Linked DNA regions of Macaca fascicularis. The protein of the gene in region 3 interacts with the protein of the main gene of each other region in a pairwise test. Links are inferred from orthologs where the notes say so. Each region holds a gene or a part of one and is shown on either strand. Other genes may lie near its edges.

Region 1 (3,500 bases), on a different chromosome or scaffold from region 3:
CATGAACATCTATAGAAATGTTCTCTAATGAGACTTTTCTTGTCTAACATTTCTTCACATTCCTTTAAAAATTGTTGGCAGATGCAATTCAGAAGATCTTAAAAATCAGTCAGTAATTGAAAAGTATTGACTTTGTAATAATGAAGTTATTAGAATTTTAAGGAGAGAAAAGAGTTATAAAGAATACTTAGCATGTACATTGAAAGCTTTACTTTATAAAGTCTTTTCATTTGCTTCTCCTAAGTGCCTTGTGATAGTGAAAACAGCTGTATTCCTGTTACATGGGAGGTCACACATGATCAGTTCTAAAGCAGATTCTATATTGTGGCTAACTTTGGTGGCACTTACAGTGGTCACTGAATCCAGACTTCAAAAAAATACATTAATATTATATGTTAGAATTTTCTAAAGGGAAAAGAAAGGTATGTAAGGATCCATCTTTGAGGAGGATGAATATTATCATTCTCCATAAAGAACCTTACAAAAGTTTCTAATGACAGTGACCATAATTAGTCTTAAAAAGTAAAAGACATATTTTAAAAGACAGATTTAAAATACCAGGCATTAAAATAATTAAAATACCTCGATGCAGATGTGATGCATTCCTCCAGCCTTGTTTTTCTGCAGAAAACCTGCAATTGGACTGTCACGTCCCAATGGATGAAGCAGTTCCATCTTGGTATTTCCCAGGTTGACAAAAACAACAGATACTCCATGTTCAGGAAGAGGGACCGCTTCACTTACCTGGGCCCCGAGAATATTCTTATAAAATGCTGCAGCCTTTTCCAAATCTGGCACTGCTATGGCTACATGATTGAGTCGACCCAGGTTCCACAAAGAACCTGCCACTTGATCCAAGGGCTGTGATGTGGAAGAAGCTCTTAATGTTGGAATGGGAGCTTGGAGTCTGGAAAAAAGCCCTAAAAAATTGAACAGCCATTGATATCGTTCTTTTGAGAATTAATACACTTCTAAATTGAATTTAAAAAACTAAACAAATAACACATGCAAAAATTCGTTATTTATATATCTATTCTTTTCAATTATTGAAATGAAACCAGGAGATAAATGGAAAAACTTACACCAGAATTACTCTGCTCTGCCCATTCAAATAACTGACTGGAATAAAAAAGCTAATTCTGAGCTGTAGTTAGATTTAAAACACAGAATAACATTTTTTCATAATGATTCATATTTACCGGTAACACTTAAAGAATAGTGGCATATTAAGAATTATTTGCTATTCTCTCTCTGCATTTCACAATGAAACAACATATTTAATAAGAACGAGCAATTTCTCTACCTGTACCCAATTTTTTGTCTTATATTTTGTAACAAGTCCATTAAAGGTATAAACATACATTAAAAGAATACATACAGTACTCTTTAATGCTCTGTTGCCCAGCCTGAAGTGCTGGAGTGCAACAGTGTGATCTCAGCTCACTGCAACCTCCACCTCCTGGGTTCAAGTGATTTGCCGGCCTCAGCCTCCCAAGAAGCTGGGATTACAGGTGCCCGCCACAATACCCAGCTAATGTCTGTGTGTGTGTGTGTGTGTGTGTGTGTGTGTGTGTTATATATTTTTTTGAGATGGAGTCTTGCTCTTTTGCCCAGGCTGGAGTGAAGTGGCGTGATCTGGGCTCACTGCAACCTCTGCCTCCTGGGTTCAAGAGATTCTCCTGCCTCAGCCTCCTGAGTAGCTGGAATTACAGGCGCCTACCACATGCCCAGCTAATTTTGTATTTTCAGTAGAGATGGGGTTTCGCCATGTTGGCGAGGCTGGTCTTGAACTCCTGACCTCAGGTGATCCACCTGCCTCGGCCTCCCAGAGTGACATGATTAGAGGTGTGAGCCACTGTGCCCACCCTAATTTTTGTATTTTTAGTAGAGACGGGTTTCACCATGTTGGTCAGGCTGGTCTCAAATTCCTGACCTCGGGTGATCCACCCACCTTGGTCTCCCAAAGTGCTGGGATTATAGGCGTGAGCCACCATTCCGGCCAGTTTTTAGCATTTTAAAAATTCACTATCACTGTGTCCTCATCAGATAGTTTCTTGATTTCCACAGACAACTCTGCATTCCATTCATTCAGCAAAGAGTCATTGTATGTCATTAACAACAAGAATGGCCTGAATTTACTGTGCACCTACTGTCTGGCACTGCATTTATTTTTTTACACCAACTGTCTAATATTCACAACAAACCTACAAGTTAGAAACTTAGTAAGTTTCATTGTTACCATGAAATCCAAGTGGATTACAACCCAGTACACATATACATAAATGTACAATTGAAACTAAATTGCAAAAAAAGAATACCTTCCACCTCAGCCTCCTGAGTAGCTGGAACCATAGGCAAGAGCTACCATGCCTGGCTAATTTTTGTATGTTTTGTAGAGATGGGGTTTCACCATGTTGCCCAGGCTGGTCTTGAACTCCTGGGCTCAAGCGATCCTCCCACCTTGGCCTCCCAAAGTGCTGGGACTACAGATGTGAGCCACCACACTAGGCCAGTGAAAACGTTTTGAAATAGATAAACGTGACAGTTGCACAAACCCAGTGAATGTAATAATTGCTGTTAAACTGTACTGTTTTTTCTTTTTTTGAGACGAAGTCTTGCTGTCTCGCCCAGGCTAGAGTGCATTGGTGTGATCTCAGTTCACGACAACCTCCACCTCCCGGGTTCAAGCGATTCTCCTGCCTCAGCCTCCTGAGTAACTGGGATTACAGGTGCGTGCCACAACACCCGGCTAATTTTTGTATTTTTAGTAGAGATGGGGTTTCCCCATCTTGGTCAGGCGGTCTCAAACTTCTGACCTCGTGATCCACCCACCTTGGCCTCCCAAAGTCCTGGGATTACAGGCATGAGCCACTGCGCCCGGCCTAAACTGTACATTTTTAAAGGGTTTTGTTATATAAATTTTACCTAAAAAAAAAAAAAATGGCCCAACAATAAAAATCCAAAGGTGAAATTGTGTAGACCAAGGAAACTGGGTAGAGAACAATGAATAAAGAGGTTAAAATGAGATAGAGCTTTATATTTAATAAAAATGTGCTCCTGAAAATTTGTTGTGAATTGAATTCTTATTATATTTTCTCTTGCTACAAGTAATTGTAGCAACTTTTTTCCAGCTTGAGGTCCCATGACTAATAGAAATGGTGTATCTTTAAGGTATACAATGTGATGTTTTAACATATGCATAAATTATGAAAATGATTACCAACACTGAAGCTAACTTTTTAAAGCTATTTTTATTTCAGGTTGCCCTCTAATTCGTAGGAATTCACAGCTCTTTAGTTTTAGGTTTCTCTGCCTCCCATTTCAGAATAGTGCAGCAGAACTGCATTATTTTGAATTCTGTAATGTTTAATTTGTGATTTTTCCAATAAAGGTTGCTTTGCATGAATATACTACAATGTAAAACCACATGCAAATAAATGCGTAAGATATTTAAAAATAGAAGTGTTAATAAAAAATGCGTGTAAAGATGAATACAGATT
Region 2 (3,941 bases), on a different chromosome or scaffold from region 3:
CTGAGTAGCTGTGATTACAGGCATGTGCCACCATGCCCAGCTAATTTTTGTATTTTTAGTAGAGACAAGGTTTCACCATGCTGGCCAGACTGTTCTCCAACTCCTGGCCTCAAGTGATCCGTCCACCTCTTCCTGCCAGAGTGCTCAGATTACAGGCATGAGCCACCATGCCAGACGACTTGACTGGATTTCTTAACAGCCAGAAAGCGTAGGAGCCTCACCTGAGTTATTGTGTGTATACACACACACGCACCACACACACAATTTTAAATACAGGAAGCGTTATTTCACACAATGGATTTACAGAGTGAAATATTTATGTACTCCCCATGCAATATTTGTTTCAGGCATTCTGAACTCCCAAGGTTGCATCCCAAGCATAGGAAAGGATGACCCTGACCTTTCTGTCCTCATTTGCCAGCTTGGAATACAGGAGCTTCCTCCTCCTCACAAGTCAATGTCTAGCCCTGCCTGACCTGGTCAGGCTACAGCCCCTACAACCAGTACTCCCAACCCCAACCTGGCCAACATGTGCTGAGGACCCCATGCAGTACCATTTTCTTGGATCGGGTGGCAGTCATATTCCAAACTCGTTTCGCTGAAGCAGAGCCAGCAGCTTTTTGTTCCAACTTCTGCCTCTTCTGGGAGGCACCCAGGGACCGAGATCCATGCTCCATCATTTCTAGAGAGAAGAACAGAGACCCCAGGAGCACCCATAGAAGTTGTACCAGGGCTTCTTGGGCACAAAACACACCAAAAAGAAGACAGAGTCCCCAGCTTTCTTGGGAATCACTCAGCACCCATTAACCACTGTCCACCAGCTGATCCCAGGTCTCAGTTTGTTCATCTGTTCAAAAGTTAAACAAGAATCCTGAGGGCTCAGCTCGAGACTAGGTTACTCTCCAGTAATCTAGAGAGCAATGACCAAGAACAAGATTCCAGCTATCAAGGAACTGACCATCTGTTTTGTGTATAAGAGTGAATGACAGGTGTAAAACAGAAGGTCTATCCTTGCAAATGCAGACAGAGAGATGCAGGCTCCATAAATGATCAAAACAGGGTAACATAGTGGAAGGAAAGGGCTCCTTCTAGAAAAGTAGGAGACAACAATTGAGGCAGGGACCTGAAAAAAATAAAGGACCCAGCCCTGGGAAATTGAGGGAAAGAGCATTCCAGACAGAGGAAACAGCAAATGCAAGGTCTTTGGGGAAGAAGCAGGCTTGGAGCATTGTAAGAACAAACATAAATGCAATGTGATCTGGATCCCTTTGTGTGCTATAGAAATGGTATTTTCTGTCTATATCATAGTATGAAATGTTTTGAGGAGGCTGATACAATCTTATAGATCATGGAGTCTGGATTTTCCTCCAAATGGCAGGAAAATGAATTCGAGGGTTGGGAGAGAGAATTGATCTCTGGTCTCATAATTTGAGCCCTCTGAGTATTTTGCAACAGACACTGTGGTGGCTTGGACAAGGGGAAGACAGAGGGACCACACATGTTGTTCCCATCCTCCTCCCTCCCAGGGCAAAATGCTCACATCATCTATCCCTTTTCTCCTAGATCCCTTACCATCAACCCACAAATCCTCAAAGCCCGCCCAACACACAGATGTGCAAACACTTCCATGCACACATGCACCTTTCCCAACACACACATGCACAGGTACAGACATGTATCTACACAGTTGGCTGTAGCCTAGGGGTATTTTAGGGGATCCTCACCCGCTATCACCAGGTGCTCTTGGTTTTGCCCTTGGCGTCCATGATTCAATTCTTCTGTCAGGGACATTTCCATCTCTGCCTTGGTGTTGGGAGGGCCTCCTGCCATCACAACCAGCTGTTCACTTGTAAGCTATGGCTAAGGATGTACAGGGTGCCAGGAACAGAGGAGTCACACTCAGAAAATCACCTCTTCCTGGAACAGGAGCTCAAGGAAGATATAGTCAGACCTGGGGGTGGAGCAAGACTCCCTCTCTAGGCTGAGGCCTTGGACTCAGCACTTTCTGTTTCTATTGTATCTTGTTGGCTAGGTCCGTGGCCTTCTCCTTGCTACTCTGTAAGCAACTTAGGAGAAGAGATACAATTCCATGCCTTTGACTGTGAGAACTGCTCTGGCTCATGAATCTCCATATTTAGCCCATGGGGGGAAGGGTAGGGTCTACCCTCCATCATTTCTATGAAGAAACAGGGATTGGCACAGGGTCCAAGAGCCAGGCAGTGGCTACAGCAGAGTTAGGTCCTAGCAATCCAGGCCATACCACACCTTCAGAAGAGATTCTCTGGAGAGCATATCCTACCTCCCCCATCCAGAGTCCCCAGACATGGGAGGTAGCCTTTTTCTGAAGTAGGTCAGACTAGGCAGGAGCCATGAGAACAAAGGGAGAGAAGGGTAAGAGAGGTGGGACCTGACTGCAGCCACTAGAACTCCCAGGGGCCTCAGGCCTTGCACCTTCTAAGTCCCAATTCTCCCTCAGTTTCCCTACTGATTAGACCACTGTGATGGTCAGGTTTATGTGTCACCTGGCCAGGTTCTAGTCCCCAGTGACTCCTTCAAACACTAGTCTAGGTGTTGCTGTGGAGGCATTTTGTAGCTGTGGTTGGCATCTACAACCAGTGGACTTGAAGTAAAGTAGAGACACATCCTCGATGATGTGGGTTGGTCTCACACAATCAACTGAGAGGCCTGAAGAGCAAAGACTGAGGTTTCCCAAAGTAGAGGTAATTCTACCCCAGGACTGCAGTGTCAACTCTTCTTTGAGTTGCCAGCCTGCCAGGCTGCCCTGCACATTTCAGACTTGTCAGCCCCACAATTGCATAAGTCAATTTATTAAAATAAATGTATATATACTTGTGCATATGCAGATATATACATATATACATACATACATATATACATCCTATCAGTTATGTTTCTCTGGAAAACACTGATTGCTACACGACCTGTGGTGAACCCTTCATTCTAGGAAACAACCCCAGAGCCCCTGGGGGAATAGGAGGCTATTTGTGAAAGGAATCAGGACAGGTTTATAAAACGTTCCTTTTAGAAATAGCCTCTTCTTCCCCCAGAGCCCTTGGGTCAGGTGGGATAAAGAGGAGGAAGGAAGGAGGAAAAGAGGAAGGGAGGAAGGAAGGAAGGAAGGAAGGAAGGAAGGAAGGAAGGAAGGAAGGAAGGAAGGAAAAGAGGAAGGGAGGAAGGAAGGAAGGAAAGAAGGAAGGAGGAAAAGAGGAAGGAAGGAAGGAAGGAAGGAAGGAAGGAAGGAAGGAAGGAAGGAAGGAAGGAAGGAAGGAAGGAGAGGGAGTGCAAAGGAAGGGGTCAGAACTAGCTGAGATAGGGCAGCATGGTCTGAGGCTGCCTGTCCCCTGCCCCCACCTCACCTGTCCAGCGCTGGGGCCGAGCTCTTGGGAAGCAGAGCTGATATAGGCCCTGCCTGCATTCCTGGGGGCCCCAAAGAAGCCCTTCCCAGATCTAGTGGAGCAGCTGCGATGAAATTTGAGCTTTCTGGAGGGCCACCTTGGGAGCAGAGAAACTACTGAGTGTGCTCAGCTTAGTGGGATTCAGGAGCCTGGGAAGCCCAGCCAAGGTTGCCAGATTGAGCAAATGAAAATACAGATACGAAGTACATTTAAATTTCAGATAAACAACACATCTGTACTTATACTACATTTGTAGTGTAAGTATTCTCTCTTGTACACTAACCTTTGGGACATATTTACACTAAAAAAAGGATTCATGGGTTGATCTAACATTGAAATTTAGCTGCATATCCTGTATTCTATCTGACAATCTTATCTCACTATGACCTCAAGATTTTACCTCGAGCAAGTTTCTCCCTTCTTTTGGTGTCAGTCTCCACCATGGACAAGCCTCCCTACAGGGTGGCTGGATTGTGAGGAGCACTCAGAAGTCAGCAAAGCTACAGTAGTGTAGGCACTGGCTTG
Region 3 (3,378 bases):
TTCTGGATGTGTCAGCCCAAGTCAGTGGTGACCAGACACAGGGGCCACCAGGAAGAGGTCGCCCCTGCCTCCTAACCTAGCATTGTCACTGGCCCGAGGAACAAGTCCACTGCTAACAACTTCACCATCACTGAGGGAGCCCTCCTCACGCCAGGCACCTTACACCTGGAGCGGGCACCAACCCTTTCTAGAAGACACTGAAGGCATGCAGCTAGTAAGTGGCGGAGCAGGATTCAAAACAGTGCCTGCGTCATCTGGTTCAGAGAAACGGATGCCCACACGCCACACCCACCAGTTGCTCTCTCTAGGCCTCTGCTAGGCCAGAGTCAGGCACAAGCCCAGCTCAGCCAACACGCATGTCCGTTTCCTCCCGCCATGACAGATTGGGGCAGCCTAGTGCAGGCTCCACCTGGGAATTGGCAGGAGAAATCTTCCCAGGAACAAGGCCAGGCCCCAGCCCAGCCAGGAGACTGAAAGTGGCTCAAAACACAGCCCATCTATAGAATTCCCCAAACTTTAATGCTGTGGCTCCGAAAAGGGAGGCTGGAGGCTGTGATGGGTCACAGTGTTGCTGACGCCTCTGACCTCCAGCCCTGCATCCCTAGCCACCACGTGACCAGGCAGTGAGAAGCACGGGGCCTCACTCCCATGCCAGACGGCTCCTGGAGCTGAGCAGGACCTGAAGCTCTCAGGGCTTCCACTGAAGCCTGACAAACTCAGGGGAGGCCTCAGGGGGCATCAGTGGTCCTTAAAGGCCTGAGCCTGCCACACTCAGGCGGGACTCAGCTGGGGGCCTCTGTGGTGCGGTAGGAGGTGAAGAGAGACCATGGTTCCAGCCTGGGAACCAGTGGGTGCCCTGAAGGGAGGGGAGGCCTCAGGGAGTTTGGGACAGGAGTGTGCAAGGCACTGGGTGGCCCATGGGGGCTCCTGGCCTCTCAGGGCACTTGGTTCAGGCAATCCCTGAGCTGGGGACACAGTCCATCTTAGGTCCAAGAGATGGAGGCCAGGAGCATCCCTAGAACGACCTCCCAGGCACAAGGAAGGCCCGGGGCGGGGCCGGGCACAGTGTGGCTGGCTTCAGTACCCTCGGGCATCTTGACCCCTGCCCTCTGGGACTGCAAAGGGATCTGCGGGTGCCTCTGCTGAGTCAATCGTCTGGTAGGCACCACGGTCCTGAGAAGGTCCAAGGAAACCTGGGTGGCAGGGGACATGGCGGGAAAGAAAAATGAAGGGTGAGAACTCGGAATGTTTGGCTAAGTCCAACCCAAGACCCACCCCCGCCACCCTTGGGCTGGGCATCCTGACATCATGCACAGAGACAGAGGCAGCAGCCCCAGGCACTCAACCTTTAGCATGTATTATTCATTCAATCCTGCCGTATCCCTATGCAGCGGGTATTTTTATTGTCCCCACTTTACAGATGGGGAAACTGTGGGTCAAAGAGATGAACTGACTCGCCCAAGATCACATAGCTCGAAGCTGATGATGCTGGGATCCACGCCTAGGCAGCCGATCCAAAGCCAGGCTCCTAGCCCCTGTGCCATGGGCTTCCCCAGGCAGTGAGTGCTCAGGAACCTGGGCAGAGGGATGCCAGCCCCGGGCCCATGCAGTCCTCTCCAGCTCCCCTCCCAGGTACAAGGACACCACATTACCATATCCAGATGGCCTCAGAGACTGGGGCTGGGTCCAAGGCAGGGCTGTAGGGCTCCGAGTACCCCAATGCCTCACTCCCATCCCCTACTCTGTACATTCATCCTGAGATCCTGAACAAGTCCTAAGGGATATGGGCCTCAGTTTCCTCATCTGTCTAATGGGAGAAATATTCTGGCGCCCCTCACCGGAGGCAGGCCCAGGCAGTGCTGAGGTCAGCCACTGTGGGCAGCCCCAGGCCATTCCTACCCTCGACCAGCTGGTGGCAGTCATAGGCCACCTAGGGCATCTCTTCTCAGGAGTGAAAGGCAGAAGGCCACACCCCACCACCTCCCTCCACTCCTCTCAAAGAGAAAATGGGAGAGAGAGAGGTGTCAGAGAGCAGGCAAATGGCTCGGCCACCAGGAGAAGGGGTTCAGGAGTTCAGAGAGGGCGTGGGAGAGGGCAGGTGTAAGGCTGGGCGAGTGGGGAGGGGCCAGTGGGCAGGGAAAGTACTCCCTGTTCAGGGCTGTCCTCGTTGAGGCTCCCACAGCCTACACTGGTGCGGGCTCTCCCTTGGCCACCTAGCACAGTCTCTGCCTCAAGAGAGGGAAGACCCCACATGGCAGGAAATGGGGTTCCAGTGATGGGCCCCCGTGGGAACAGAAAGGAGACCTGTAGGTGCCTGTGGCCCTCAGGATGGAGACAGCCCAGGGCTGCCCCTGGGAACTAAATGATACCCCAAGCTGTGCCTGTGCTCTGGGCTGAGAGAAGGGCCCAGCCTCAGCTTCACAGCAGGAGAAGGTCGCGGCAGACCAGGACAGCCAGAGGACCCCTGGGCTCCTGCAGCAGACACTAGGAGCTTGGACCTGTCCAGCCTGGTACAGAGCGCCCATGCCACGCTCTCCCTGCACCTTGAGCCCTGGCCCCATGGGGCAAGGCGGGCTTACTGAGGGAGAGGCTGGGGGCCAGGCAAGGGAGAGACAAGAGTGGGGAGCTGGCTGGAGGTAGTGGCCTCACCAGTGTGGACCAGGAGCTCACCCCCGCGCTCCCGGTACATGTGGTAGACGAAGCAGCACGAGAGCGGCTTGAGCAGCAAGCTGAGGATGGCCATGCCCGCGCCAAAGCGGCCTGTGTCCGTGAGGCTGGCCCGTGGGTAGAAGATGCTGATGTGCACGATGTCCAGGAAGATGGTGGCCAGCAAGCCACCCAGAAACTGCAAGACACACCACACTGATGAGCACAGCACCCCCGCCGCGCCCCGTGGCTCCCCCACCATATACCAGATGGGAAGCTGTTTCGTGCCCTACTATGTCCTTGAGTTTTGCTGGAAAACAGATCAAGCAAGCAGGCAGGACCCCGTTGGGGAGCCGCTGGCTGGGACTGCAGTCTGGGGGCAGGGACGCCGGGGGTCCAGGTCTCGGTTCCACCAGAGCCTCCCTCCCCACCCATTTCCCATCACCTCCAAGGCCATGACGGGCACAAGACTTGGTTCTAGAACCGCCACAGAGTAAGGTTCCTTGGAGTTCACCCAGTCTGTCTCCAACACAAAGAAAATCCTTTTTCAGTCATCCTGAGGCCCTGGCCTCGGCTTGAAGAGCCCGTGCGGGGAGCGCTCACTGCCCCACGGGGCTGGGTGGGTGCTGAGAAGCTCCCCCTGTGGGAGGTTTTGGTGGGGCAGGGTCACCTCTACTTCCTAAAGTGTGGAGTGCCCCCTTGGCCGGGTCTCCCAGCCACAGCCCCTCCCCT
Region 4 (3,500 bases), on a different chromosome or scaffold from region 3:
CTATGCTCAACAAAATGAAAGATTTTCACCTGCAAAGTTCTTTTACACTAGCTCATTTTCCCCATTCAACTCTGTGCCCCCAGCACACAGCATAGGGCCTAGCAAGCAGAAATATGGGTGTGATCATCCCCATTCCCCAGCTCTATCATGCAGGATCCCTCCTGATCTCCTGTGCATTCTGTTCTCCATCACTTCAGATGTGCTTTACGCAGATATTAAGAAAAAAGGGAGATCTGAGCAGAGATGAGACATCATCTGGCTTATACTTTAAAAGGCTCATTCTGGCTCCCACGTCCAGAAGAGTCTGTAGAGGCAAAAGCAGAAGTGGAAAGACCACCACTGAGCAGCTATTTCAGTAATCCAGCAGAGAGCCAGGTTCTGGTTGTACTTGAAGATAGAGCCCATAGGATTTCAGGTGGAAAACAGAAAAGTCACAGATGATTTCTGAGATTTTTGAACCCAGCAATTGGAAGAATGAAACTGCCTTTAAGTAACATGGGGAAGACTGCAGGTGGAATAGATTTAGGGAGGCAAAAATCAGGATTTCAAGCCTGAAGATGTTAATTTTGAGACATCATTGGACATTTAAGTAGATGAACCTGCCACCACTACAGTCCAGCCTTTCTGTCTCCTTTGTTCTTCTTCAGATATGACAAGTTTCCTCCCTCCCCCGGCCACCCCACATCCTGACTGCTTGCTTATGCTGTTCTCTCTGTCTGGAACTCTCATCCTCCTCACGTCACCAGCCTCTCTCTCTCGATGCTGTGAGTTCTGGTGTTTCATCACCACCTCGGAGAAACTTTCTCTGATCCTCTAAACAAGAGCAGCCTATCACTCTCTCTCCTTGCCTACTTGGCCACCACTAGACTGCAAGCTCTCCAAGTGCAGAGGCATCGCCTGCTTAGTTCTTTCCTGCATCCACTTTGCCTGTACCATAATTGACAGTAAACATCTCTGAATGAATGACTGATTGACCCCAAAGCCTAGAGAGCTCCCTGATCTGTTAACATGGTTTTGTAAAAGGAGATGGGCATACCACATGACATATAACCCACAGCAGTAGTGAGCTGCCCATCCTGTAGACATGTAAATTATGACACCCTTCCTTGAAACTCTGGGGCAAGCAGGGAAATGGGGTATGAGGGAAGACTGTACTAATACAAATGAAAGGTTTTGGAGGCAGCTGAAGTTCTGGGCTGCTATCTCAGTCTGCCCCAGCATACCAGTGAAGAACCTTGTCCAGAAAGTCCCATCTCTGAGATTCATCATGATGCAGATTGGGGGTAGGAGGAGTAGGATCAGTTATCCACAAACCAGAAGGCCAAGCCACCTTCCCTGTTTTTCTCCATGCCCTCTACCACACTGCTACTATCTTGTCCTAAAATGGACAGGGCATTTATCCATCAGGTTATCAGGAAGACAGGCATGAAAGACCCATTGTACCATGAAGTGCAAATCATGGCTTACAAGGGTGAGGAGAGCCAAATGGAAAATTAAATTCAAGTCTTTGAATTCACAGACTGAATGTATTAAATCAAGGGCTAACAATCCCAGGTCTTCAAACACACCACGTCATTACCAGCACCATTGAACATACTCACACTTATATTACTTCTTGGCTCCAGAACCAGAGTCACTTTCATTTCCCCTTCTGGGTGCAGGTGGCTGAGATAGAATAGTTTCTCTCCCATCATTCTCTCTCGGGTCATCTTCCGGGCAGCGTACAGGCGGAAGCGGACAGCACAGGCAGCCACGTCTCTGGGCTCCAGCTTGGCGAAGGTGACCTTCTCCTTGAAGACGGGGTTGGGCCCTCTCTGTATGTTCGTCCTGCCCCTCTGTTTCTTACCAGGCAGCAGCACTACATGAACTTGCCAGGAGTTGACACCACTTCGGTCCTTATCTGGGAGGCCCTGTGCCCTCACAATGGTCACTGTGAGCTTCTGGCTGGAGGCTCTATATTCAAAGATGACATCTAGGTCACCACACTTTGAGATGGGCTCTGAGACTCCGGATGGCACCTGCAAATTGGTCCTGTCCTGTTCCTGTTGCAGGCAGAGGAAACAATTAGAAACGGAAATGATGAGACCCAATTACATTTTGGCCAGTTGGTGCTCCTTTGTGCTCCTTTAGAATCCCTCCTTTCTAACTGCCAGTGTATTCCCTCTATATCAGACAGGTCTATTTACTGGTCTGTCGCTGCATTAAACTGTGAATTCTTTGACGGCACAGTGCCTAGCATATGGCGCGCCTTCGTGAATGTTTTTGGAATGGATAACTAAAGCTTTTATATTTTGCAAAGTGTTTTCATATACACTGCCTCTCAAAAAGCACAATTGCCCAGGATCATTGAAACCAACTGAGATGCTAAATCTAAAATTAAGTCAACAGGCAATTGTCCATAGGAGACTTTTCCTTGTGTCCCTAAATACAGATGGTTGAGACTGAGCCTGTTCTCCACAGGCAAGAGTTTTCCACAGACAAGAATTTTGATGGGAGTCCCAGGAAGGTGATGCTTCAGTATATTTTCAATCTACGTGAGAGAAAAGGTTTAGGGCTGAGCTTCTCAAACTTTAATGTAGACCTAAATCATCTGAGGATTCTGACTCAGTAGGTCTGGAGTGGAGCTTGAGATTCTGCCATTTCTGGGACGTGTGCAAGGGATGTTGATGCTACTAGCCTCACCTCACACTTTGAGCAGCAAGGGTTTAGGAGGACACCTCCACAGCCCTTTAGTAAACAGCAACACTGAGCCTGGAGCCAGAATATCTAAATTGAAATCATAACTCTAGCACTGACTATCTTTTTTACCCTGGCCAAATAGACCAGCCTCTCTGTATTCAAGCTTAAAAACGCACATTAATGTGCCTGCTTGCTGGTGTGTTGTTGTGAGGTTTTCATTGATGTGAAAATACCTGGCTCAGGCCAGACTGCATCAATATCTATTCCCACCACTGAACTGGTGCTACCTATTCTCAAATACACATCTCTCTTTATGGAATGTCACCCTTGGACAGCAATTTACTTGCAGCCACTCAGATCTGATGACCTTACTGGGAAAACTGAGCTGAACTGCATTTATTATAATGAACCACCCCACTAACAAATTATAAATAATGTCAAAAATAATTCTGTTTTCCTCTGAAGGCATGATCCTTACCTGTAACTCAACTTTGAACTGATTCTTATTGCAAACCAGTTCTTATTTATGCAATTGAACACCAGACCTTGCTAATTTAAAGATCTCGTTTCAAATTATAATAAAATGCCTCAAAATATGCATCCATCAGTGAAACTTTCCCACATAGTCTGAGTGAAAGTTCATGGTTCTCTGGGTTCATATTTCCCTAGGAAGCCCAGGCCTACTATTTACTAGCTATATGACACTGGGCAAGTTACTTAATCCTTTCCATGTTCTATTTTCCTCAACTGTAAAATGAAGATGGTGCCTTCTGTGTAGGGATGTTGTAAAAGGTAGAGGACTTGACAGATAGTAGACATCT
Region 5 (2,878 bases), on a different chromosome or scaffold from region 3:
CCAGTGGGGCCCCTAGAGGGCAGCGGGGCCAACAGGGCAGGTGGAGATGGGGCCACAGGCCTCTGAGCCTGCATCACTCTGCCTTATACTCCTGGCTCCAGTCAGGCGGGGTGTCCCCTGATTCTCCGAGAATCCTCAGGGCCCCTGGAGAGGAATGGAGGAAAGCGCTGGGTGGGACTGCTCCCAGAATGTGACTTTCCAGTTCCCACTGCCTGTCTGGCACAGAGTAGGTGCTCACTACATACCTGTTGAATGCGTGAATGGATAGATCAGAGGTCTGCCATCGCCACAGACTGGCTGTGAGACTTGGGCTGGTTTGTTGCCTCTCTGTGTCTCCGTGGCCCCCTTTATAGAACCAGGAGATGGGGCTGGATATTCTCACTGAGCCTTCTAGCTCTGGATCCAGGTCTCTCCCACCCTAGTTGCAGTCCCCAACCTCCCTCCCCAATTCCCACCAACAAATCCCAAATGGAGGGAACACAATGAGCCACACAGAAGGGTGCAGAAATGAGCCTTTATTGCCAGGGACAGGAGAGTATGTGTAGAAACTGCTGTTCTGACTGTGAGCAGGAGGGGCATCTGGGAAGGTCCTTCTGGTGGGACTTAGGCTTTCACGCTGGTTAGGTGGTGGCAGCAGCTTCCCAGAAGGAGATGCTATAAGGGGGTGGCGCAAGCCACTGGGAACCAATCTGGAATGAGACCACAGGGGGTTAGGACATTTGCAGCTAGGCCGCCCTTATACCCAGCTGTCATCCACTGGGCACTTGATGGGACCCAAGTTGACCTGGCTCCAGTGTCCCAGCTCTTTCCCACAATACCCCATGTGGTTTAAGTCCTGGGAAGAAGAAACTGGGACCTGTGGTTTGGGGTCTTTCATTGGCACCTAGCACTGACTCATCTACATTCCCCTCACCCTCCTTCAGAACAATGGCAGATGTGGAAAGATTGATTGCAGGCCACCACTGGAGCCAGGTTCAGGGCCCAATATGTGATCAGAATCATGGATCCATTTGAGACCAAGGTTGGGGCTCAGTCTGTGACCAAGACTAAGGCTCAGTCAATAACTGGCATCAAAGCTCGGTCTGTGACTAGGATCCAGGCTCAGTCTAGGGCCAGAATCATAGTTCAGTGATTAAGGCTCAGTATTCAGAGTGTGACCAGAATCAGGCCCTAGCCTGGGACAGGGGCCAGTGCTCAGTCTATGACTGAGATGAAGGCACAGTCTTCTAACACAAAAAGAAGGGAAGCCATGCTTGGCTTTTCTTCACCATAGGCCCTGTGCATTGGGGCTTAGAGCCTGGCTCCTCACCAGCAGGCATCACAGTGGTCCTCGTCATTCATCCTCTTCAGATGTGGGTTTGCAGCTGGGTTTCATGCTGAAGATTATCTGAAACAAAATCAATAGCAGGTTTTAGTCTCTGCCTCTGGAAAATTGAATAGAGACCAGACTCCAAAAGATGCCGCTCTCCTGAAGGTCACCTGACAGCTGTGGGACCCCAGGGATGTCACTACACCTCTCTGAGCTTCAGTTTGTTCATTTGTAGAGTGGATACAATGACTGTACCCACCCCACAGGGTTGTTGCAAGGATCCAGTGAGATAGTGAGTACAGAGCACGAAGTGACTGCCTAAGGGACTGGACTTGCAGCTATTTCCTTTCTTCTTCTTTTTTTTAAAAAAAATTTTTTTTTTGAGATCAGGATCTCACTCTGTCGCCCAGACTGGAGTGCAGTGGCATGATGTCGGCTCACTGCAATGTTCGCCTCCCAGGCTCAAGCAATCCTCCCACCTCAGCCTCCTGAGTAGCTGGGACTACAGGTGCATGCCACACACCTGGCTAATTTTTGTATTTTTTTTGTAGAGATGGGATTTCACCGTGTCACCCAGGCTGGTCTCAAACTCCTGAACTCAAGTGATCTGCCCACCTCAGCCTCCCAAAGTGCTGGGATTACAGGTGTGAGCCACCGTTCCTGGCTGACTTGTGGCTATTTTCATAGAAGGGTCACCTCCAGGGTCTTGACACCTTTACTTACTCCATTTCTCCCCAGCAACCTCAGCCATGCCTGTAGACCCAAAAGCTAAAGAGAGTCCCCAAGTGCCTGTGGAGGGAAGCCACAGCTCCTAATTTGCTTAGGACAGTGGGTTCTTCTGCTTCTCCAGGGTCTCCTGACCAGAACTGCTTATGCGGTGGGCACAGAACTCCAGGCCTGCCTCAGAAGGTCCCCACTTCCCCATTGACTTACCGATGATCTGCTGAATGAATTGCACATCCAGGGAGTGGAGGAAGATGCGGATCAGTGGGCATATCTGACAGCCAGAGAGAGGAGGAAGAGGACGGTCAGGAGAAGGAGGAAGAACAGACCGTTCTCCTGGGCTAGAAACAAACTGCTTGCCACCCACAGAGGAGCTCATTTCTAGGGATCTTAGAACCTTTGAACTTTAGGATTTCATTTTGTTTTATTGGTTTTTTTTTTGAGGCAGGGTCTCACTGTCTTGCCCAGGCTGGAATGCAGTGGTACAATCTCTGCTCACCGCAACCTCCGCCTCCCAGATTCAAGTGATTCTCCTGCCTCAGTCTCCCAAGAGACTGGGACATGTGCCTGTAAACCCCAGGAACATGAACTGCTTTCTAACTACAGACAGAGCCACATGGATCATCACTTAGAATCCCACATCTGACCAGCGGCTCACCCCAGGGCCTCATGAGATTCTCAGCACAGAGACCTTATTCGTTCATTCATTCAACCCATATTCACAGAGCACCAACTCTGCACCAGGAACCTAGCTGGGCCCTGGTACCGAATGAGCGAAGTACAAACATCCCCTAAGCTGGTACCTAAACATGCATGACTGATCTTTGTGTTTTTAGTAGAGACAGG
Region 6 (4,215 bases), on a different chromosome or scaffold from region 3:
TTTTTAAATCCTGGATATTTGTGTGAAAGAGGAAACAGTTCAATAAACGTACTTAATGTACACAGTTTACAGTAATCCAAACAGTTGCTTAGTTTTATGAAACTACAGTTTCTACCAAGCTCAGAGAAAAAATACCATCGTAAATTCGCACTTTGTAAAACAAATAGTCCAAGGATTGCCACGTGTTTTCGGCATGGCAAAACAAAAATCTGTATGTAGGTGAAAGTCAGAAGCGGATAAATTTTGGCTCGGTATTAGAAAAAAAGTCCAAAGTTTCTAAATACTTAGTATTTCCAAATACTTTCCACAGCTTCACATGCAGAATGTCATGCCTCAAAAGGTTCACGTCCTAATACCCAGAAGCTATGAATATGCTGTTACATGGCAAGAGGGAATTAAGGTTAAAGATGGAATTAGGTTTCTACTCAACCTTGAGATGGGGAAAATATTCTGGATCATCCAGATGAGCCCAATGTAATCACAAGGGTCCTTGTAAGTAGCAGAAGGCAGGGGGGGAGTATTAAAAGTGATGTAATGTGATAAAGACTGAACCAGCCATTGCTGACTTCGAAGCCCATGAATCAAAGAATCTTAGAAATCTCTAGAATCTGGAAAACGTAAGGGAATGGGGTCTCGAGCCTCCAGAAAAGAATGCAGCTCCTACCAATAGCTTGATTTTAGCCTAGAAGATCCATTTTGGACTTCAGACCTCCAGAACTATGAGACGTGAATTTGTGTTGTTTTAAGCCACTAATTGGTGGTAATTTGTTGCAGCAGCACTAGAAAACTAATTTGGCTTTCTGTGAGATGCAGTGCCTTCTTCCTGACAGATGGTATTCAAACTGGGTTAGACAAGTTGTTCATGGTATATGTCTAGGGGATGGGCAATAGGTAAAAAACATCATGAGGATGCAGGTAAGGATTGCTTGCCTAAGTGAGTTCCTAAAGGCATTAAACTGGGCCTATGTATACTTTTTTTTTTTTTTTTTCTGAGACAGGGTCTCACTCTGTCACCCAGGCTGAAGTGCAATGGTAGGATCATAGCTCACTGAAACATCTAACTCCCGGGTTCAAGGGATCCTCTTGCCTCAGCCCCTGGAGTAGCTGGGATGCCAGCACGCCTGGCTAATTTTTTTTTTCAAGTAGAGGCAGGGGTCTCACTTTGTTGCCCGGGCTGGTCACCAACTCCTGGGCTCAAGCAATCTTCCAGTCTCGCCTCCCAAAGTGCTGGGATTACAGTCATGAGCCACCACGTGCACATTTTTGTGTGTAACCATTTATGGTACCTTCTCTGTATAGAGAGTCTGCAGCATTTTCAAAGATTCTCAAAAGGATCTGCTTGATAGACAAGATTAAGAACACTCTTCCCAGATTATATCTAATACTAAACTTTTAATATTCCATGATTTTCTAAGGCAGTGAGTCTCAAAGCACATTCCATTAAATGTCAAAATAAAACATCAGAACGCATCCAACATTTGTAAAATGCAGATTCCTGAGCCCCACACTAGATCAGACCAAATCTCTAGGAGCTGTAAAAAAATTTAATTTCAACAAACTTGAAGGAGGGAAGAGAGGGAATTCTGCACACACTGTTAAAGCACCTCTGCTCCAAGGAATATGTTATGAAACATTACACCAAAAAAACTGAAATAAATTGTTCCCATTACGGAATCTTTAGGAACCCCAATACACTCATCTTACTATATGGCTTTGTGTGATTTTTTTTTTTCCTGGGCCTCAGGTAGCTCAGAATACGAAGGCAATGTCTATTAGACCTATTTAAATTAAAATTCATTCTGTAGAGTGCCAGGAACGATGACTGGCAGGCAATACGTCAGATTAAAAAACGTCAGTCCTATTCTCCATCCCTGCTTCCCTCCAACCCTCTCCCCAAATAAGGAAAAATAATACCCAGCCTGCCATTTTGCATACTGTTAAATACTGCAAGAATTGTGTTAACCGTATCAATATCATTACTAAACGACAATTTTCTATAATAAACTTTTTGGTATGATTTATCTCCTAAATGTTCGCTCTTTCAAGCGAATATTTGCTTGAAACATTCTCCTGGACCTTTGTCTGTGATGCCGTAGGAATTTACAAATTTAAGTCTTCCACGAGTCATGGCGTGGGGTAAAACTCGACTGGCCTCAATGAAAACACCTCCCAACAGAGAGGCCTAGAGAATGAGTAAGAACTCCCAACAGTGGCTTTTCAATCTCGGCAACCTTGGGCAGCTTTTTCTCGTCCGAGACGTTTGACAACCCTAAAGAAACCTGAGCCTTGACTGGAAAGGGGGCTGAGGGAGGAGAGTTTAGGAACCCTCTCCGCGCCTCACAAATAACCCAAATTCCAAGGCAAAGTCACAAAGTCATACAAACCAGGAGGCCTAGGGTAGGGTCTAATTCTCCCAGCTGCCAAGAAAGCCCTCCACAGCATGCATTAGGCCGAGTCGGCGGACCCCACCCAGAGAAAGAGGGAAAGGAATAGGGAGGCCGCGCACCTCAACACCCAGACGCAGGTCCTCAATCAAGACTGCCCCTGTCCCAGGCCCATCACTCAGCTACACAGAGAAGCTGAGCGAGCCCCGGCCACTCACCCCGAAGCCACTGCGTGCTGTGAAACCATCTCCAATTAGCTCCGCGGCTTACAGACCACCCAAGAGCCCCCTTCACCAGTCCTATGCTTCGGCAGCCAGGGAAGCCCACAAGATAACGCAGTAGCCGCGGATCACAGCCTAGCCTCCAGGAGGCCGCCATCTTCACGGCCTTCTCACCGGCTGCCCGCAGCACAGCCTGATGTCCAGCATCAAGGCCCCGCCTCCCACATGGTTGGCCACACCCCCAGACGATCGAGGTGCCTTTAGGTCTCTCAGACTTGAAGCCCTCCTAGTCCCGCCTCCAACCACGTTGGCCACGCCTCCCGGGCAGTCAGGTGCGCTGCTGGATAGCCCAGCCGGAGGGGCCTTACCAGACCCCGCCCACCCTGTTCGCCCCGCCCCCGGGCTGCCCTCAGCGCCGCCTGATTGCATTTGCGGCCTTGCTGCCTCAACCTAGGCTGAGCGCCGCGAGTAAAGTGGTGCGGAGATTGGAGGCCGCGTGGGTCCCTGGTCTAGGCCATGTCTGGCTGTGACGCTCGGGAGGGAGACTGTTGTTCCCGGAGATGCGGCGCGCAGGTAGGGGCGGGGTCACCGGTACCGGTTATTCCCAGGAGTAGAGGCCCAGACGGAACCTGGCGGCGGGAGCTGGGCGCGGGGTCGCGGGCCGGGCGTTTGGCTGCGGGGCGGGGCTTCGGGCCGGGCAGTTTGCGACCCTGGAGCACCGCGGCCTTCGCGTTGGGAAGCAAGGCTGCGGCCCCAGGCGATCAGTGGTCCCGGGCGGGGCGCTCCGACGACGGGAGCTGGGCGCCAAACATTGGAAAGAAGCAAATAACGCAGAGAGAATAGCGTTTGGGTGACCTCAGCGGGTATTTATCAGGAAGACAGGCCAGAGAAGGAATCGTGAAGCTCCGAAGTGGAGCTGGGGCGAAGACCGCGCTCCCCGAGCTTCTTTTCTGCGCCCTGACCAGTTAGGCGTTTGGGGAGACTTTTGGCACTCGGGAGACATTTGCCGAACCGGAGCTGTGCCTCGGCTGCCAGCGCTTTGCCTTTGAACAGTTGCTCCTTGCCTATCTCCCTTTAGATGAATTGTGGGATGATCATGGGAACGATTCTTCCTTAAGCCGAAGTCAAAGGGAAATCCACCCTCACTCTGCATGTAGTTTTCGGTCATTTACACAAACCAACAGTTTTATGGAGCACCTTCTCCGCGCTCAGAGATGGCGGTACATAAGACAAATGGCCCAGGGTCTGGAGAACTAGACGAATAAGCAGTTTCAGCACAATATGATAAACCCCACCTAAGAGGCAGGGAAACCCCTCAAAATTAGCTCCCTTATTCCCCCTATCTTATTCCTCCCATGTATATCTTTCTTAGGGTTGAAAATCCTAATTAAAAAGTAGTAACTAGCAGGAGATTTCATTGCTAAGTATTTGTCAACCGCTGTCTTGTTTGAATAAGTGACTTCCCCAAATTAGCGAAGACTACTCTGAAAATAGAATGGTGGATAGGCAAGGTTGGATGGGAGAGAGAAGATCTTGGAGATAGGACAGATAATTGGAGATCGTTCCTAGGCAGGTGTGTATGGAGAAGTGTTCATGCCCTCAATCAGTAA
Region 7 (3,500 bases), on a different chromosome or scaffold from region 3:
GCTGCAGCAGGAGCGGGGGAGGGGGAGGCTAGGTGTCCATGCATCAGGGGAAGGGCTGTGGGGCTACCTGCTCCTCCACTCAGCCTTCGGTCCTTCAAGTACGCAACTAAGAGAGAAGACAGAGCCAGACAGGGGGCGGGGTGGGGGAGACACAACACAGTGAACAGCGTGGTCCACTGAGGCCAGAGCATTGAGATGAGCCGGAGAGATGGGACAAAGGACAGGCACAGAGAGGCTGGGGGCAGGGTCAGAGGCTCTGGAAGCCCACCCAGCAGTGGTCCCCAGAAGGATCTCTGACCCAAGGAAGCCCTGACAGCCGGTGGGGTGCTTATCCCCTCACCATTCTGCTGGGCCTCAGTCTCCTGCGTACAGAACTGGGGAGGCCTGCCCCTCTGTGCCTCTCCCAGCTCGGGGCTGCCTGGTGGAGTTTCTCCCCAGGACCCTGAGAACGCATCTCAGCGCCTGACAAGCTTCCTCCATTCACCTCACAAATGCTTGCTGTGCCCTGATCCCAGCCTCTGCGCTCCTGCAGAGCCCCCCTGCGGGCCCTAGGGCTCTGCCCTGCTCCAGAGAGCACTGTATTCCTGGGTGTCCTCCCCAGCCTTCCCACAGGCCGCCCCCTGTTTGCCCTGGAGATACCAGCTCCAGAGGCTAAAGTCTGGAGGGCAATAAAAAACAAACTGAGAAGAGGAAGTTTGCCACCTGGTAGTGGGGAGCTGGAAACAGGTATGTCTTAGAGGGAAGGGGAAGTTGAGGAGACACCCAAGGGGTGTGTGTGTCTGTGTATGTGTACCTGGTTCTACCCCAGACCCAGATTTTCAGATCTGCCAACTCAGGTTCAGCTGCTTTCAGCTCTCTGAATGCCCAGGCCGCCCCAATTGCCTTCCCTGGCCCCAGGCTCCAAGCCCACTCCTATGACGCCCTGGGTGCAGCCACCAGTTGTTTCAAAAGGCCTTCTCAGGTGCCGTAGGCCCAACTCTGACCCCAAGCCCTGGGGCAGATGAGGGGAGTGTGCCTCACCCCCAGACAGGCTTCCCTGGCAGGACGTGGCCCTTGGACCTGGACCCTCAGCACAGAGAGAAGGGTCCCTTCCCCCAGTATGCCCATCACTGCCATCAGAACAGTGTGCCAAGTCCTCCCTAAGGGCAAAGGGGAGCTGGGCACAGCCTGGGATGTGCAACTTGCAACTCAGGTGGCATCTGTGGGGCCCAGCATCCGGGGCCCAGGTCACACAAAACTATGCCTGTGGGCTCCCCAGTACCCCCTGACACCACGTGCCAGCCCTGCAAACAGGACCCCCCACCCCAGCACTGACTGCCCACTGGTCTCTAGGTGTGGTGGGGTGGAAATGTACTCACTGTAGCCCATGCCTTGCAGGAAGTATTTGAAGGCTTCAGTCAGCTTCCCTGGCTGCGGAGGGCAGGACAAGCACATGCTTTCATTGGCTGCCTAGGATTAGCAGGGAGGGTAGAGGCTTCCCCCACCCCATAGATGGAAGGGCAGGAGGGCCAAAAGTCTCACCTGTGTGACCTGGGGCAGCCCTCCGGAGTCTGCCATCTGCAAGGGAGAGAGTGGGGTGACTTGAGCAGGGCCCTCACTCCAGGACAAGCTCCCACCTGGCTGGGACCCCAGGCAAGCCCCTCCCTGAGGTTGGGCCCATGCTAGGGAAGCTGGCCTAGGGCTGGGGAAGAAAGCCTCACCTTCAGGAAGGTCGTGATGGTCGGGTCCAGTTTGGAGTTGCACTCCACCTGGGGACAAGGAGCCAGCTTCAGCAACAGCCCCGGCCCCTCCCCACCCCTGTGGCTAAGGCAGGTTTGATGCCCCAAGCTGGGGAGGAGAGGGGGTGCAGGGAGGCAGAGGGAGACCCAGCACCTGTGACAGGCTGCTTCTCCCAGGGCTCCCCACGTTCTTGGAGACCAGTTTAGCAGCGCCCCTGAAGGTCCTGGGACCCTTGGAGCCCACTCACAACTGCTAGGAGTGGGAGTCAGGCAAAGGCTGGGCTGCCGTGGTGGGACTGGCCTGGGAAGAAGTCCTGGGGCCCTCAGCAGTGAGGTGAGGGGTGCCGAGGGTCTGAAAGAGACCGGGTGCAGAGGGCTGGCACAGCCCACCACCGCACTCTTCCAGGACCTCCCGGTGGGCATGGGAAAGCCTGGTATTTCCACGGCGCACGGGGCTGCTCGGGCACTTCCGGACCCTGCAGCTTCCCAGCAGCTCTGTGCTGATGGGGCCTCACAGCCCCAGGCCACCTGCTCCCAGAGTTCCAGCAGGAGGGGTGACACGTGGTCCCCAAACGTAACAGGTGCAGGTGATGGGGAAAGGGAGACTGTGCTGCTGTATGCATTAATGATTTATAATGACTCAATCACATTTCAGAAAAAAGAGAGATCGTAGGCCCTGGGCCTGAGGTGGGTAGGGACCAAGTTGGGGCTGTGCTGCTGGGGAGGGAAGAGGGGACCTTCTGATGGCCCGGCCCTGGCCCCAGCCCTCCCCATTTCCAGGCCTCCCCCGCCAGAAGGATGGGGGCTATGCCAGATGTGAGGCTTGGCAAGACTGGGGAAGTGGACGAGAAGCCCACCATCCACTGCCAGCCCTGGAGGCTCCCCTGGGCTGGGTCAAGAATTGCCCCTGCTGGACAGAGGCCATGAGCCCCTCACCCCTACCTCACACCCCCAGTGAGCCCACAGCCCCTCACTCACCACCCCGTCCTCAGCAGGTGCATTATCCCCGACCACCAGCATCACGGGGCAGCTGCAGATACAGAGGAAAAGGGCTGTCTGGCTGGGTCACGGGGGCAAAGGCTGGGGCAGGCCAGAGGGCCAGGAGGCACTCACCGGAGCGTCTTGGCATTGAGCACTGTTCCAGGCCGGTTAATGTCCAGGTCTCTGCGGCTGTGGGGGAGGGGAAGGGGAGGGGCAGAGGTGGGCACCCCAGGACAGGATGAGGGGCATCCCAAGCCCAACACTGCCAACTGGTAAAGCAGGGAGGCATGGACCTGCTCTGCATAAATGAACTGGAGGCCCCCTATGCACGGCTTTTTGGACTCCCCAGCACATACCAGGTGGGCTCTCAAATTTTGCTATCCCCCTCAGAGCCAGGGGTACCGCCACCTGTGCTGTGGGAGGTTCTGCTACTGGTCTGTCTCCTGGACCATATGGGATGGCAGGCCCTGGGTCTCTTTATTCTCTATTGTTTTCCTAGCACCATGCACACAGCAGGTGCTTACTATTTGTAGAAGAATGAGAAGGAGGGCAGGTGAGTGAGGGGGCCTGGCCACCTCCCTGCAGGGCAGGGCAGCCCCTAAAGGGGGCTCCAAGGAGCATAGCTTGCAAACCACAGGCTCATCCGACCTCGTCCCCATTTTGCAGACGTCAATATCAAGGCTGGGTTACTGCAGTCAGGGATGTCACCAACACCCCCAACACTCCCACGCAGGAAGCCCCCAGGGGAGGAGGAAAAGTGGAAGAACCCAAGGCCTGGAGTCTGAAGACCTGTTCCCCTCT

Evidence for each region.
Region 1: the proteins of AGTRAP (region 3) and MCEE interact in binary tests that used the Homo sapiens proteins (3 or more experiments, as listed by UniProt). The two-hybrid records come from large-scale screens. The link is inferred for Macaca fascicularis from reciprocal best matches to the Homo sapiens genes AGTRAP and MCEE.
Region 2: the proteins of AGTRAP (region 3) and FATE1 interact in binary tests that used the Homo sapiens proteins (3 or more experiments, as listed by UniProt). The two-hybrid records come from large-scale screens. The link is inferred for Macaca fascicularis from reciprocal best matches to the Homo sapiens genes AGTRAP and FATE1.
Region 4: the proteins of AGTRAP (region 3) and SYT16 interact in binary tests that used the Homo sapiens proteins (3 or more experiments, as listed by UniProt). The link is inferred for Macaca fascicularis from reciprocal best matches to the Homo sapiens genes AGTRAP and SYT16.
Region 5: the proteins of AGTRAP (region 3) and BPIFA2 interact in binary tests that used the Homo sapiens proteins (3 or more experiments, as listed by UniProt). The two-hybrid records come from large-scale screens. The link is inferred for Macaca fascicularis from reciprocal best matches to the Homo sapiens genes AGTRAP and BPIFA2.
Region 6: the proteins of AGTRAP (region 3) and PDHX interact in binary tests that used the Homo sapiens proteins (3 or more experiments, as listed by UniProt). The two-hybrid records come from large-scale screens. The link is inferred for Macaca fascicularis from reciprocal best matches to the Homo sapiens genes AGTRAP and PDHX.
Region 7: the proteins of AGTRAP (region 3) and NDRG4 interact in binary tests that used the Homo sapiens proteins (3 or more experiments, as listed by UniProt). The two-hybrid records come from large-scale screens. The link is inferred for Macaca fascicularis from reciprocal best matches to the Homo sapiens genes AGTRAP and NDRG4.

The regions. Positions count from the first base shown.
Region 1 is NC_088387.1:50,824,864-50,828,363, reverse strand, and holds part of MCEE (methylmalonyl-CoA epimerase, mitochondrial), read right to left. Parts: intron 921-3,500; coding exon 583-920; intron 1-582. UniProt on the Homo sapiens protein: Methylmalonyl-CoA epimerase involved in propionyl-CoA metabolism.
Region 2 is NC_088395.1:157,779,011-157,782,951, reverse strand, and holds the start of FATE1 (fetal and adult testis-expressed transcript protein), read right to left. Parts: upstream 2,801-3,941; 5' UTR 1,831-2,800; coding exon 1,725-1,830; intron 683-1,724; coding exon 555-682; intron 1-554. UniProt on the Homo sapiens protein: Involved in the regulation of endoplasmic reticulum (ER)-mitochondria coupling. Negatively regulates the ER-mitochondria distance and Ca(2+) transfer from ER to mitochondria possibly implicating it in the regulation of apoptosis.
Region 3 is NC_088375.1:223,059,655-223,063,032, forward strand, and holds the end of AGTRAP (type-1 angiotensin II receptor-associated protein), read right to left. Parts: intron 2,846-3,378; coding exon 2,650-2,845; intron 1,194-2,649; coding exon 1,078-1,193; 3' UTR 501-1,077; downstream 1-500. UniProt on the Homo sapiens protein: Appears to be a negative regulator of type-1 angiotensin II receptor-mediated signaling by regulating receptor internalization as well as mechanism of receptor desensitization such as phosphorylation.
Region 4 is NC_088381.1:129,916,454-129,919,953, reverse strand, and holds part of SYT16 (synaptotagmin-16), read right to left. Parts: intron 2,043-3,500; coding exon 1,602-2,042; intron 1-1,601. UniProt on the Homo sapiens protein: May be involved in the trafficking and exocytosis of secretory vesicles in non-neuronal tissues. Is Ca(2+)-independent.
Region 5 is NC_088384.1:89,228,868-89,231,745, reverse strand, and holds the end of BPIFA2 (BPI fold-containing family A member 2), read right to left. Parts: intron 2,307-2,878; coding exon 2,243-2,306; intron 1,388-2,242; coding exon 1,347-1,387; 3' UTR 1,310-1,346; intron 690-1,309; 3' UTR 501-689; downstream 1-500. UniProt on the Homo sapiens protein: Has strong antibacterial activity against P.aeruginosa.
Region 6 is NC_088388.1:30,655,220-30,659,434, forward strand, and holds the start of PDHX (pyruvate dehydrogenase protein X component, mitochondrial), read right to left. Parts: upstream 2,801-4,215; 5' UTR 2,763-2,800; coding exon 2,603-2,762; intron 1-2,602. Other genes in the region: APIP (methylthioribulose-1-phosphate dehydratase), read left to right, coding at 3,166-3,178.
Region 7 is NC_088394.1:54,611,532-54,615,031, reverse strand, and holds part of NDRG4 (protein NDRG4), read right to left. Parts: intron 2,889-3,500; coding exon 2,832-2,888; intron 2,749-2,831; coding exon 2,697-2,748; intron 1,749-2,696; coding exon 1,701-1,748; intron 1,558-1,700; coding exon 1,522-1,557; intron 1,411-1,521; coding exon 1,359-1,410; intron 107-1,358; coding exon 68-106; intron 1-67. UniProt on the Homo sapiens protein: Contributes to the maintenance of intracerebral BDNF levels within the normal range, which is necessary for the preservation of spatial learning and the resistance to neuronal cell death caused by ischemic stress.